3 linked regions of the Mus musculus genome follow. The main gene of each other region encodes a partner of the protein of the gene in region 2 in a complex. Links are inferred from orthologs where the notes say so. Each region holds a gene or a part of one and is shown on either strand. Other genes may lie near its edges. The genes, in order: Timm10b, Timm22 and Timm10.

Region 1 (3,357 bases), on a different chromosome or scaffold from region 2:
TTATAGCCTGACATTAAAAAAAAAAAAAAAAAAAAAGTTCTTGCCTGGCAAGCACAAGTACTTGTGCTCCATCTCCTGTAAAACAGTAATAAATGCAGACCCCATGCTGTCGCTTGCCCTGCAGGCTGTCATCCTTGAAGCCCCACAAGGTGGTACATGCCACATCCTCCTTCCTTCCCCATCTCCACACTAGGAATGAAGTCACAGAACCGGCAGCTGCCAGGAAAGGACTCCTCCTGAATACACATGTGAATCCCACAAGAGGGGGTGGGGAGTAATGAAACAAGAATAGAGAAGCTGGCATCAGAGCAGTTACAGTGAGACTAGTGTAAGGCACAGGGTAGAGAGCTGAAACTAGATTAGACAAGCAGTCAAACCCGAAGAGGAGGGGCACAGATGGCATTTAACCATCCCTCCCTAACACCATCTCCCTCTCCCTCGAGTTCTCTTCCTGAGGTTTGACCAATGCTGCCTTCCTGACTGACTCTGAAGACAAGAAAGCACTTCTTTGTTTAAAGTCTTTATTGCTAATTTCACAAAGGCAGGAAGTACTAAGAGAGTAAATTGGGGAAATGGTCAACATTCCTGAATTCTTAGAGGCTTGTCTTTGTTCTGTTGTCACTGACCTCCTAGGAAGCAGTGGCTAAAGCCTAAGGGGGTAGAGTTTTCTTCCTGCTTTTGTTGTTTGGTTTTACCTTCTTCCCCTAGGTTCACAGCAATTCTTTTTGACAGCTGAAAATAAAAACTAGTTATGAGTCAATGTATATTCAGGTCCTTGAGTTAGTCCCAAGGACAGCCACTGAGAGCTCTCCTTTTGGAACCAATTTCCCATTGCTATTACTAACCTTAAAGCTCTACCCATAATCCCTGCTTTTGCTGGGGTGCTGGGAATGCTGAATTTGTCCTTCTACACATAAGAAGGCACTACATCAACCTCCAGGGCTAAAGGCAGTACACATGCACTAGATGACAGAATAAAGGCTGGTACCCATAGACAAATAACCAGACTGTAAAAACGGGTTTATTGGCTCCAAGAAAAGGAGCAACAGCACCCAGCTTTCAAGCTCAATCTCTCTGTACACATTTAGATAAGCCCAAGGTCCATAGAGGAGCCCATCCAAGCACCTTCTCTCCAGGGGCCAGGGACGGCTAGCTGCCTGATGGCGAGTCTCTGGTCTGTTCTGCAGGAATACCTGGCGCGGCCGAGGCAGCCTCGTAGTCCGCGATGCGGCGCTGGACCAGGGCGGGCATGAGGTGCACGTAAGCGGCCATGAGGCGGTGGTTAGAATGGATGAGTTTCCCAGCACAGCTGTGCAGGCAGGCCTCCTGGAAGGAAGACGGAGGGAAGTAGAAACTAAAAGGGGTCCAGTCAAGCCCGCCTCCTTCCTTCCCGGTCCCCAGCCTAGGAGTGAGGTCAAGAAAGAGGGAGAAGATGGGGGGCTGGGGGAGGGTGTCACGTCACGTTGTCAACTCTGGGACCCCCACACTGTCTCCACCTCCTCAGCGTCCAGAGCTCGGTGGTGCAGGCTGGGCACACAGCGCTGGAAACACAGTTCTGTCATCCGATTGTAGACCAACAGGAAGTCTCGCAACTGAGAGAAAAGGGAACCACGACTTCACCACCGCTAAGGCTCCCCGGGATGCACAGCCCGTCTCCCCCTCGGGTTCTTGCGTGTACCCCTGGAAACAAACTGCACGTCTAACCCAGAGAGCAACTGCGCTCTCACTCACGTTTCTCAGTTGCTGCTGCTGCTGCTCCATCACGCCAAGGGCGCACAGCCCTAGTCACTTCCGCCCGTGGCGGGGTGGCAGGGTGGCGCGGGGTTGGGGGGGCGGAGGGGGGAGGTTAGAGCTCTCAGAGTCGCCCCGGAAGTAAACTCTCACTACTCCCCAAGAGCTTGAAGGCGTAGCTCCAGGCTCGTCCTGCCCACAACTGCAAACGTCACTTCCGCCCTTTTTCTCTGCGACGTGGCCGGCTTCTTCTGCCCAGAGAGCATGTCACTTCCGCCAAATCTCTGACCTGCTGCTAGGATCGCGACGAGAACTGGAACCCGAGGTCCCCGCGCGGTCCGGGCCTCGCGCCCTGAGGGGAAGAGCGGCCCGGCCCAGGTGAGAAGGACATACTTGGACGAAGGGAAGTTGAACGCACGAACCTGTACTGAGGGCAAAATGCCCTGAGCCCTTGGCAAGGATGAGGACACACCTGATGCCCAGGTGTATGGGGGTGGGGGGAGCCCCTCACATCTGGGAGGCTTCAGCTGACTTTGGAAGGGATTGCCCGTGTCCTGGGAAAGAGAGCCTTTCACCTGACACCAGGAACATTCACTAACTGCTTCAACCAAGGCCTGCTGGGGAGGGCCTAAGGGAGTCAGGTGCATGAGATGGAGAAAGGAAGAGCCCAGACCGGCTGAAGGAAGAGGGGAAGGAACACCAAAGAATGTGAAAGACCAGGATTGTAGAGCATGCCTGAGTGGCAAGTGAGAGTCTGAGCCTAGGAAAGGGTTCTGGTAAACATTGCCTCTGCAGGGTTAAGTTCCCAGAGAGCATAGACCTCCCCTCTGGTCCTCACTGCTATAATCCCATTGCCTCAGTATCTCACTCATAATAGACACTCACTAGATAGTTGTTGAATGACTGAATGCATGAATGGTTACTGAAGGCGAGGTAGGGGGGTTATGAGAAGACACCCGAGGCTTTGGTATGCATGCATCTGTAGAGATAATGTCCTCAGAAGAGAAGAAACACACAAACTCAAGGAAAGCCGTGGTGGCTGATCCCAGGACACCCAAGCCCAAAGACAACCCCTGAAACCTCTGAGAACACAGGGAAGGCCTCCTTGTTCTGGAGTGCTGGCCAGTTTCCAGAATTGTCTGTGTTGGGCTTTACAGCGTGCTGGGGTGGAGACCTTGACTCCAGTCCCTTCCCTAGCCATGACGGACGGGATTCTAGGGAAGGCAGCCACAATGGAGATTCCCATCCACGGAAATGGCGAAGCTGGGCAGCTTCCTGAAGACGATGGGCTGGAGCAGGTGCTTCTGTTTGATTCTTCTCATTGTTTTGTTATACATTCCTGACTTATAAACCTTTAATTTCCCCTGTCCCGGTAGCCTTCAGTTAACTAAACTCCTTCATACTTTTCAAATCTTCTTTATGGTTCTGTACAGACTTTACTATGCACTGTCTCCGTCCCCAAAATGTTTCATCCATCCCTGTGTTCCTGAGGTGCCCCCCTCTTCTCTGACCTATAGGACCTCCAGCAGGTGATGGTGTCAGGACCCAACCTCAATGAAACTAGCATTGTGTCTGGTGGCTATGGGGGCTCTGGTGACGGACTCATCCCCACAGGTATGAATGATA
Region 2 (4,247 bases):
TAGTTAACAGTCTAATGACTGGGCAGTGATGGGAGGTAACAAAACTTCCTTGGCAGTGAGCATGAAAGCAAAGGGATGGACTCAAAAGACAGGTGTGTATAAGCAAGAAGAGAGTGATTCACCCAGCCAGGAAACAGGAAGTGCAGGTGTGTGTGTGTGTGTGTGTGTGTGTGTGTGTGTGTGTGTGTGTGTGTGTGAAAGAAGTTCTAACTTCACCTGTAGCTCCTAGTTACTCTCTGCTGTTGGAGGACATTAATCAAAGCCCCTTAATTGCAAAGTCATCTGTCCAGGATCTGGAGAAATGGATCAGGAGTTGAGAGGGCTGGCTGTTTTCCAGAGTTCCTGGGTTCAATTCTCAGCACCTATATGATGGCTCACAGCCATCTGTTAACTCCAGTCCCAGGAGATCTAATGCCATTTGCTGGCCTCCCAGGTACTACGTGTACTCGGTCCACAGACATACATTCAGGTAAAGACTCGTTTGAATTAATTTAAAATAAATAAAATCTAAAAATAAAGTCACTTGTCCAGTACCCACTGTGTACAACAAACCGGTCAGCTAAGCAGTATCTGTTGGCACATACCTTCTACCAGCCATAGGGCTGTGACGTTTTTCCATTGTTAACCATAGTTGTATGCAACTAGTATGTATATAATACTCTATACTCAGCTTGCTCGCTCTCTCTCTCTCTCTCTCTCTCTCTCTCTCTCTCTCTCTCTTTTCTTAAGCATAGTTTCTCTGCGTAGCCATGGCTGCCCTGGAACTCACTCTATAGACCAGGCTGGCTTCAAACTCAAAGATCTGCCTGCCTCTGCCTAACTGATTTAACTGATTTAAGGCTTGCTAGACCACCACTCAGTTCATTTGTTGGCCTCCTTCTTTATTCCTTAAAGGCTTAATAACTATGTAATAAAATACATTTAGAACATATGTATGCCATGTTTCAACACTTACTTACAAAGCGCGTACATTCGATCTCAGAATACCAACCAGCCTGTGGTTCTAGTGAATCAGGTAGCTGCATCACTGCTGCATGGCTTAGAAACAAAGCAGACACGCGCGTCCCCTGCTGCAAGCTCAACGAACTGCAGCCTAACAGGAGCCCGACCGCTCTTCAGCGGCTTCTCAAGAGTTTTCAAAGGAAGTAGCATGTCCAGTGAGCACGCACGGCTTTCTGGGAAGTGTAGTCAGATGTTCGAGTTAGAACTACAAATCCCGGCACGCACCGCAATGGGGCCCCTAGTTGAGGGGTGTTCTTGAGATATTGAGTCTTGTCTGATTGCTTTTAGCAATGTCTTACAAACTTGGCAGCTGTTTAAAGAGGCGTTGAGGAAGCACGATAGCTCCCTCGACGCTGATGCATAGGCAGACTTTGCTTCTACACCTTCTTCAGTGTGGCGAATCTGCCGTTGTCGTCACTCTGGCTGGACGCCTAGGTAAGCGTGTGGAATCGGCTGTGGGAAATACGAAGTGAAAGGTACTAGAGCCCCTACGGTCATGGCGGCTACCGCCCCCAAGGCCGGGGGTTCAGCTCCTGAGGCAGCGGGTTCTGCCGAAGCTCCGTTGCAGTACAGCCTTCTTCTTCAGTACCTGGTGGGCGACAAGCGTCAGCCCCGGCTTCTGGAGCCTGGCAGCCTGGGCGGGATCCCGAGTCCTGCCAAGAGCGAGGAGCAGAAGATGATCGAGAGGGCAATGGAAAGTTGCGCCTTCAAGGCTGTGCTGGCCTGTGTAGGAGGTGAGACGAGGCTCGAGGGGCCCTTGGGATGCTGAGGGCTTGAAGAGCCTTAGGATTCCTTATCAAGACAACGCGTTTAGGAGGCAAGGAACCTGTAGGTGTCGACCTTGATTGCACCCGGACTTGCTCCTTGAACCCGGAGATGTCTCTCTTGACCCTGGGGTTAACAGTCAGGGTATGCAGGATCCTAAGTAGTTGCTTTCTGTCGTTCGTTTGTTTGTCATTTCATTCATTCATTCAACATGTTGTTACTATGTAACTGTCATGAGCGGACAGGAGCCCTGAAGGTCTAATATTAGGACCCAGAGAGAATGCTGTAGACACATAGGGAGTTGCAAAATTGTCCTTAAGGCAGAAGTTTGGAGCTTGGAAATTATTGCTGGGTGGTGGCGGCCCAGGCCACGGGGGTGGGGGTGGGGTGGGGGGAGGGGCTGAGACAGACAGGCAGACAGACAGAGCTACATAGAGACACCCTGTCTCAAAATAAAACAAAAAACAATGAAGACCAGTATGATTAGACAGACGGGGTGGGGCTGGGATAGACATTAACAACCCCCAACACACACACACACACACACACACATTCACATTTTGAGGATTTGAGAATGTACAGCATATTTAAAACAGACGGGGTGGGGCTGGGATAGACATTAACAACCCCCAACACACACACACACACACACACACACACACACACACACATTCACGTTTTGAGGATTTGAGAATGTACAGCATATTTAAAACGTGCAGGTGAAAAGGTTAGGTATATTTGTAGATGAATTCAAATTTCATTACAAATGAAAAACATTAGCCGGGCAGTGGTGGCACACGCCTTTAATCCCAGCACTTGGGAGGCAGAGGCAGGTGGATTTCTGAGTTCAAGGCCAGCCTGGTCTACAGAGTGAGTTCTAGGACAGCCAGGGCTACACAGAGAAACCCTGTCTGGAAAAACAAACAAACAAACAAACAAAGCAGGGAGGAAGAGGCAGTCAGATCTCAGAGTTCCAGGTCAGCCTAGTTTATATAGTGAATTCCAGGACAGCCCGGGCTCCATAATAGAGACACTAACTCAAAAAATCAAAATAAACAAGCAAGCCAAAAAAACCCCAAACAACCAAACAAAACAAAGTTTCAAAAAATGTAGTAGAAAGAGAGTTTGGGAGCTAGAGTGATTGGAAAGCAAGAAATTCTGGGAGAGGAGGTATCTGGCTTCCCTGAGCTGGTCTTGAGGTGATCATCCTAAGAAGGCATCATGTAGAAAAGGCTGGGGAGCAAGCTCAGTTGGTAAAGTGCTTGTCATGCAACCATGAAGGGCTAAGTTCAGTTCTCAGCATCTCTCCAAAAAAGCCAGGTTTGGCTGGGTGAGGTGACCGGGACCTCTAAGCCCAGCACTGAAGAGGAAGAGGCAGGGGAATGAATCTCTGAGTTTGAGGCCTGCCTAGGCGGTCTGCATATTGAGTTCCAGGACAGCCAGGGCTGTTACACAGAGAGACCCTGTCTTGAAAAACAAAAACAAAAACAAACAACAACAAAAAGAAATTGGTGTATAGTTCCTGAGGAATGACATCCCAGGATTGACCTCTGGCCTACACCCACATACACACAAAGAATTGTCCAAGGCTCAGCCAAGTCATTTGTCCACAGCAACATAAGACTCCACACTTAAGAGTCACGTGACTTTGAAGGCAGTTACTTAACCTCTCCAAGGTTTGGTTTAGAGAGGCCAGCTAGTTGGCACTTGAACACACCTTTAATCCCAGCACTTGGAAGGCAGAGACAGAGGTATCTCTTGATTTACCTGTTTTACAATAGCAAGTTCCAGACCCGCCAGTGTTACATAGTGAGGCCCTGTCTCAAACAAAAAAGCCAGAAAGGGGAGATAATAACATCTACCTCACAAGTTATTGTGAAAAATAAGGAGAACCCAGAATACCTGGTGCATGATGCTTACTGAGGGACTGTGAATGTTGTCACGGTCAAGGGATGATATACAACATTGGTAACTGAAAGCTGAAAGTCAGAAGAATGGACGGAGGAAGAAATGCTAGAGGAATTGGGGGGATAGACTCCGACTGTGTGCTGCAGGGGAGGCAGGATCGGGATTGAGACCAAGAGACCCGAAAGGCCATCTTCAGTTCTCATCCCAAAATGGTCATTCAGAGAATGTGCAAAAGAACTCTTCTCTCTGCTTGCCTCTAGGGTTTGTCTTGGGAGGCGCGTTTGGTATCTTTACTGCTGGCATTGATACCAACGTAGGCTTTGACCCAAAGGACCCTTACCGGACACCAACTGCAAAAGAAGTCCTGAAAGACATGGGACAGAGAGGAATGTCCTATGCCAAAAACTTTGCCATTGTGGGCGCCATGTTTTCATGTACTGAGTGTCTGGTAGAGTCTGTAAGTGCCTCTTGCATTTTAAGAAACCCCTTTCTGTTGCCACTGTACTCTTTTAAATTATCTTTTCTTTAAAAATCAGGTTAAAAACGTGTGTGTGTGTGTGTGTGTATGTGTG
Region 3 (4,099 bases), on a different chromosome or scaffold from region 2:
TTTATTTTCTGTATCTATGAGTACACTGTAGCTCTGACACACCAGAAGAGGCACTGGATTCCATTACAGATGGTTGTGAGTCACCTTGTGGTTGCTGGGAATTGAACTCAAGACCTCTGGAACAGCAGTCAGTACTCTTAGCCACTGAGCCATCTCTCCAGCCCAAGGACACATGTTCTTATAAATAAATTTAAATTTAAAAATAGTATATCAAATGACCTGTGTAGTTCAGTTGTGGAGGGTTTGCATGAGACCCTGGATTCAACCTTCAGCACTGTGGAAGAGAGATGAAAAAAACATCACTATTAGCTGAGAATGTGAAAATAGCACTTTGGGAAAAAGACTTCATCTGCTAAAGATAATAGATCAAGAAAATGTGACTAAATAGTAAGAATTATTAAATCTTGGGGATAGATTCAATGACGTTCATTAGACTGTGTTCTGTGTTGTGAATTTGCCCTAATAAAATTTTAAAGGGATAAACCCAATGCTTTTTATTATTACATTTATTTATTTACTTACTTTATTTATTGTGCATGTGTAGGGCTATAATAAAGAAGTGCAGTAAAACATGTTGCAGCACTGGGGCAGTTGATAGAGTGCTTGCCTAAGCATGTGGTCCTGTTTTCATCCCAACATTGCAAAAGTCAGGCATAATGGCGCTTATCTGTAGCCGAAGCACTAGTGAGGTGGAGGCAGGTTCGTAAGTTCTAGGTCATCTTCGGCTACACCGCAAATTAGAGAGCAGCCTAGGTTCCATGGGACCCTGCCTCAAAAGCAAATAAAGACAATCTCTATACATGTTTCTTTTTTTCTGCGAGCAGCGATCGTGTATCTTCTCTGCAACTCCACTAGTTAATGTTGCACACTGCTCCCCGGGATTCTGATTTCAGGGGTATGAGGTAACGTCTGGGCGCTGAGGTGTTTTTTTTTTTTTTTTTTTTTTTTTTTTAAAGTGCTCCAGGTGTTTTAACATGCAAAATTGACAGGCTCCTTTGGGAAACGTTCTCCTTTCTTCACATAAGATCCGTCTGCGCTCTGGCGTGGGCTCTCCATGGTGGGTTCAGGGAGCCAAGCTTCTTCCACACTGCAAACGCTCAGGCGTCTCCCGGACAACCGGAGGGATGGAATGCTAACAAGGCTGCCGGCGCTCTGCCACTCACTCAGCATTCTATGGTACTTTGGAGTCCACTCTAGCAAATTAAGGTCGGTTTCTCTATGGTAGCCGGTTTCCCAGCGCAGCCTGGTCGGCGTTTTCTTCCGGATCAAAGAAGAGGCTAGACTTCCTTCCGGAAGTGACCCACGTGCTTCTTATTTCGCCTGCCTTGGTACCCGGTAACTTTTTACTATTGACCCGAAGTTGGGGACGTTGCGGGAGCTGTGACCTGCCCCAGGCCGTGGTGAGTGGGCCGTGGTGTCTGATACCCAGGGTAACCCTGATTCCTGATTATGCCATTGCCGTGACAGAGGCTCAGCCTTTAGACCCACCCCGGGAACCTAGGCTGTGGTTAGGGTCACATTCTCGGGGCTGCATGGGTTCAGACCCACGGTTTTGTGTGTTCCGTCCCAACTGTCAATCCTCTGGCTCTAGGAGTGATCTCGAGGTACTAAGAGGGCTCGGTTTCCATCCCCGAGCCCCATGACATCGCGAGTGACCTTGAGCTGGACACTGTCCTCTTTAAGGGCCTCATCTCCACTTCTGTTAAGAGGGCTGATTACGTTTACTGAGCGGGGTATTGGTCCCCGCTGGTCTGAAACACTGTAATTCCTCGCGCCCTCCAGCCCCCCCGGGGGGGTGGTACTAGGGTGAACCGGGAGGGATCGATGCTGACTGATCATGTCCGCTCCTAGGACTAAAGACCAGGAGGCTATTCTCTCCACGGTGCTAAGTTGACATGGATCCGCTCAGAGCCCAGCAGCTGGCTGCGGAGCTGGAGGTGGAGATGATGGCTGACATGTACAACAGGTAAAGAGAAGCACTCGGCTTCACCTTGTCTAGGAAAACTCGCCCTAGTCACCCCTAGCCCGACAGAGTGAAGCACTTGTAACGAATGCTTTCGATAAGGTAGTGGAGCCAAGTCCCGCCCTCCTAATCCCGCCCCACCCTCACCGCGTGCTTCGCTGAAGTAAATACAGGTCACTGGAAGGACTTGGTTGGCTATTTGGAGGGAATAAAAGGGGTGTATGATGGAGAATCTCCTGCCCAGGCTCTGCTGAGTATCAAGAACATATAAGCACTTTCTCTTCTCTTCTCTTCTCTTCTCTTCTCTTCTCTTCTCTTCTCTTCTCTTCTCTTCTCTTCTCTTCTCTTCTCTTCTCTCCTCGTTTCCATCTTTCTTTCTCCTTAGATAGCCCATTTACCCTTGTTTATGTAGTTTATGTATTTTGTGTTTGTTTATGAATGCCAACATGCATGCCATAGCGCCACACATGTGGAGGTCAGAGGGCAGCTTAATAGGATCTCATCTTGGATTGAACTCAAATCTTCTGGTTTGGCAGCAAGTGCCTTTGCCGCCTAAGCCTTCTGAACAGCCATTTAGTAATGAATAGTATTTAGTTGCTAATATTTATTAATGTTTTTCTTCCTTTTTGGGGGGGATGGAGTGGATGTTGTTTTGTTCTTGTTTTTCACGATGGGGCTTCTCTGTGTTGCCTTGGTTGTCAGCTTAATCTGTATAGACCAGGCTGGCCTCACTCTCAGAGATCCACCTGTCTCATTCTCTTGGGTGCTGGGATTAAAGGTGTGCACACTCGGCCTAAATTATACTTTAACTCTGTGTTAGGCATTTGCAAAGCATTTTATATATATTATCACTTTAAATTTATTTATTTGTTTGTTTACTTGTTTTCTGTGTATGGATGTTTTGCTTGCATGCCCGCAGAGGCCAGTAGAGGGCATCATATCTCCAGGAACTGGAGTCAAAGATAGTTGTGGGCTACCGTGTGGGTGCTGGGAACCTAACCTAGGTCCTCTGCAAGAGCAGTCAGTTCTCTTAACCACTTTCCAGGCCCCCATTATCAGTTTTGTAAATAGTTAAAAATAATTCAAAGGGAGAAGGGGATATAATAACGTAGGATTTTTGTCTAGAATGCAGGATGCCCTTGGTTTGATCTTGACATGGTGCCTATAATTTCAGCAGTTAGAGGCCAGAGACTAAATAGTTCAGGATCATTCTTGGCTATATAGTGGGTTCAAAACCAGCCTGGGATAGATGAGACCAGTCTCAAAAGAAAGAAAGGGAAGAAAGAAAGAAAATCAGTGGGTTAATTTTATTAGTACTATTTTAACACAGGGGAATTGAGGTGTCAAGGGGTTTAATAATCTCAGGGGCTGTAGCTGGTCAGTAGCAATGTCAGGACCAGAACTTCAGCCTGACTTCAAACTACTGCTTGTAGCCGTTTGGAAACATCTTGCTGCACCATCAGCAGCTGAGTGTCTTTAGGCTGAATGTCATAACTGGTTACTCATCAGTAAAACTGACCTAAGAAGCACTGCTCCCTCCATAAAGACATTGCAATATTAAACTGAAAGCCTCTAGCATTAGCACATCATACAGGAACCAGCAGGTATCTGCTGGTTTTCGACAGCAGCTCTCGGTAGGTTTGTCTTGGAGACTACAAATTGGAATGGTTTTTAAAATACAGACTGCGCAGTCAGACTACCTAGCTTTGTGTGACCCTCAGCTCTTACTGAGCTGTGTCTTAATTTCCTCGTCTGTAAAGTGGGGATAGTGATTGTGCCTGCCCCAGTGGGTTACTGTGAGGGTTGCATGACAGAACCTGTATTAGCCCTTAGCGTGACGCCTGGCACACAGCCGGTGTTCAGCAAGTGCTTCCTCTTTAACTAGTCTTGTACATGACTCAAAGAAGAGTCTTAGTTGGAAAAGCGTTCCAAGGTGGTTGAAGTGAAAACTGGGGGTTCCCGCTGTTTTCTTGACGGAGGGAACGAGGCAAGAATCAATGCAGCAGGGTTGGGCTTGTTGAAGGTGCCTGGGATGCTCCAGGAAGTCACTGATACAACCTTGTTCTTCTCTAATCCCAGAATGACCAGTGCCTGCCACCGGAAGTGCGTGCCTCCCCACTACAAGGAGGCAGAGCT

What was found.
Region 1: Timm22 (region 2) and Timm10b share a complex: the UniProt entries of both Homo sapiens proteins name them as parts of the TIM22 complex. The link is inferred for Mus musculus from reciprocal best matches to the Homo sapiens genes TIMM22 and TIMM10B.
Region 3: the proteins of Timm22 (region 2) and Timm10 are in contact, whole or in part, in a cryo-EM structure (PDB 7CGP), measured with the Homo sapiens proteins. The link is inferred for Mus musculus from reciprocal best matches to the Homo sapiens genes TIMM22 and TIMM10. Residues at the interface, in NP_037469.2 of Homo sapiens: Tyr25, Ser26, Leu28, Leu29, Gln30, Tyr31, Leu32, Val33, Arg40, Leu42, Leu47, Gly48, Glu67, Glu144, Ser145, Tyr146, Gly148, Ser150; in NP_036588.1 of Homo sapiens: Pro3, Ala6, Gln7, Leu9, Ala10, Ala11, Leu13, Glu14, Val15, Met17, Met18, Ala19, Tyr22, Ser44, Lys45, Gly46, Glu47, Arg53, His62, Glu63, Gly66, Leu69, Thr70, Ser73, Met74.

The regions. Positions count from the first base shown.
Region 1 is NC_000073.6:105,638,997-105,642,353, reverse strand, and holds Timm10b (mitochondrial import inner membrane translocase subunit Tim10 B), read right to left. Parts: upstream 1,910-3,357; 5' UTR 1,762-1,909; coding exon 1,732-1,761; exon of another isoform or gene 1,679-1,731; intron 1,593-1,678; coding exon 1,497-1,592; coding exon of another isoform or gene 1,486-1,496; intron 1,327-1,485; coding exon 1,150-1,326; coding exon of another isoform or gene 1,126-1,149; 3' UTR 733-1,125; coding exon of another isoform or gene 692-732; 3' UTR 508-691; downstream 1-507. Other genes in the region: Arfip2 (arfaptin-2), read left to right, coding at 2,931-3,029, 3,249-3,345. UniProt on the Homo sapiens protein: Component of the TIM22 complex, a complex that mediates the import and insertion of multi-pass transmembrane proteins into the mitochondrial inner membrane.
Region 2 is NC_000077.6:76,405,707-76,409,953, forward strand, and holds the start of Timm22 (mitochondrial import inner membrane translocase subunit Tim22), read left to right. Parts: upstream 1-1,437; 5' UTR 1,438-1,498; coding exon 1,499-1,736; intron 1,737-3,935; coding exon 3,936-4,132; intron 4,133-4,247. UniProt on the Homo sapiens protein: Essential core component of the TIM22 complex, a complex that mediates the import and insertion of multi-pass transmembrane proteins into the mitochondrial inner membrane. In the TIM22 complex, it constitutes the voltage-activated and signal-gated channel.
Region 3 is NC_000068.7:84,825,748-84,829,846, forward strand, and holds the start of Timm10 (mitochondrial import inner membrane translocase subunit Tim10), read left to right. Parts: upstream 1-1,273; 5' UTR 1,274-1,400; intron 1,401-1,851; 5' UTR 1,852-1,895; coding exon 1,896-1,966; intron 1,967-4,042; coding exon 4,043-4,099.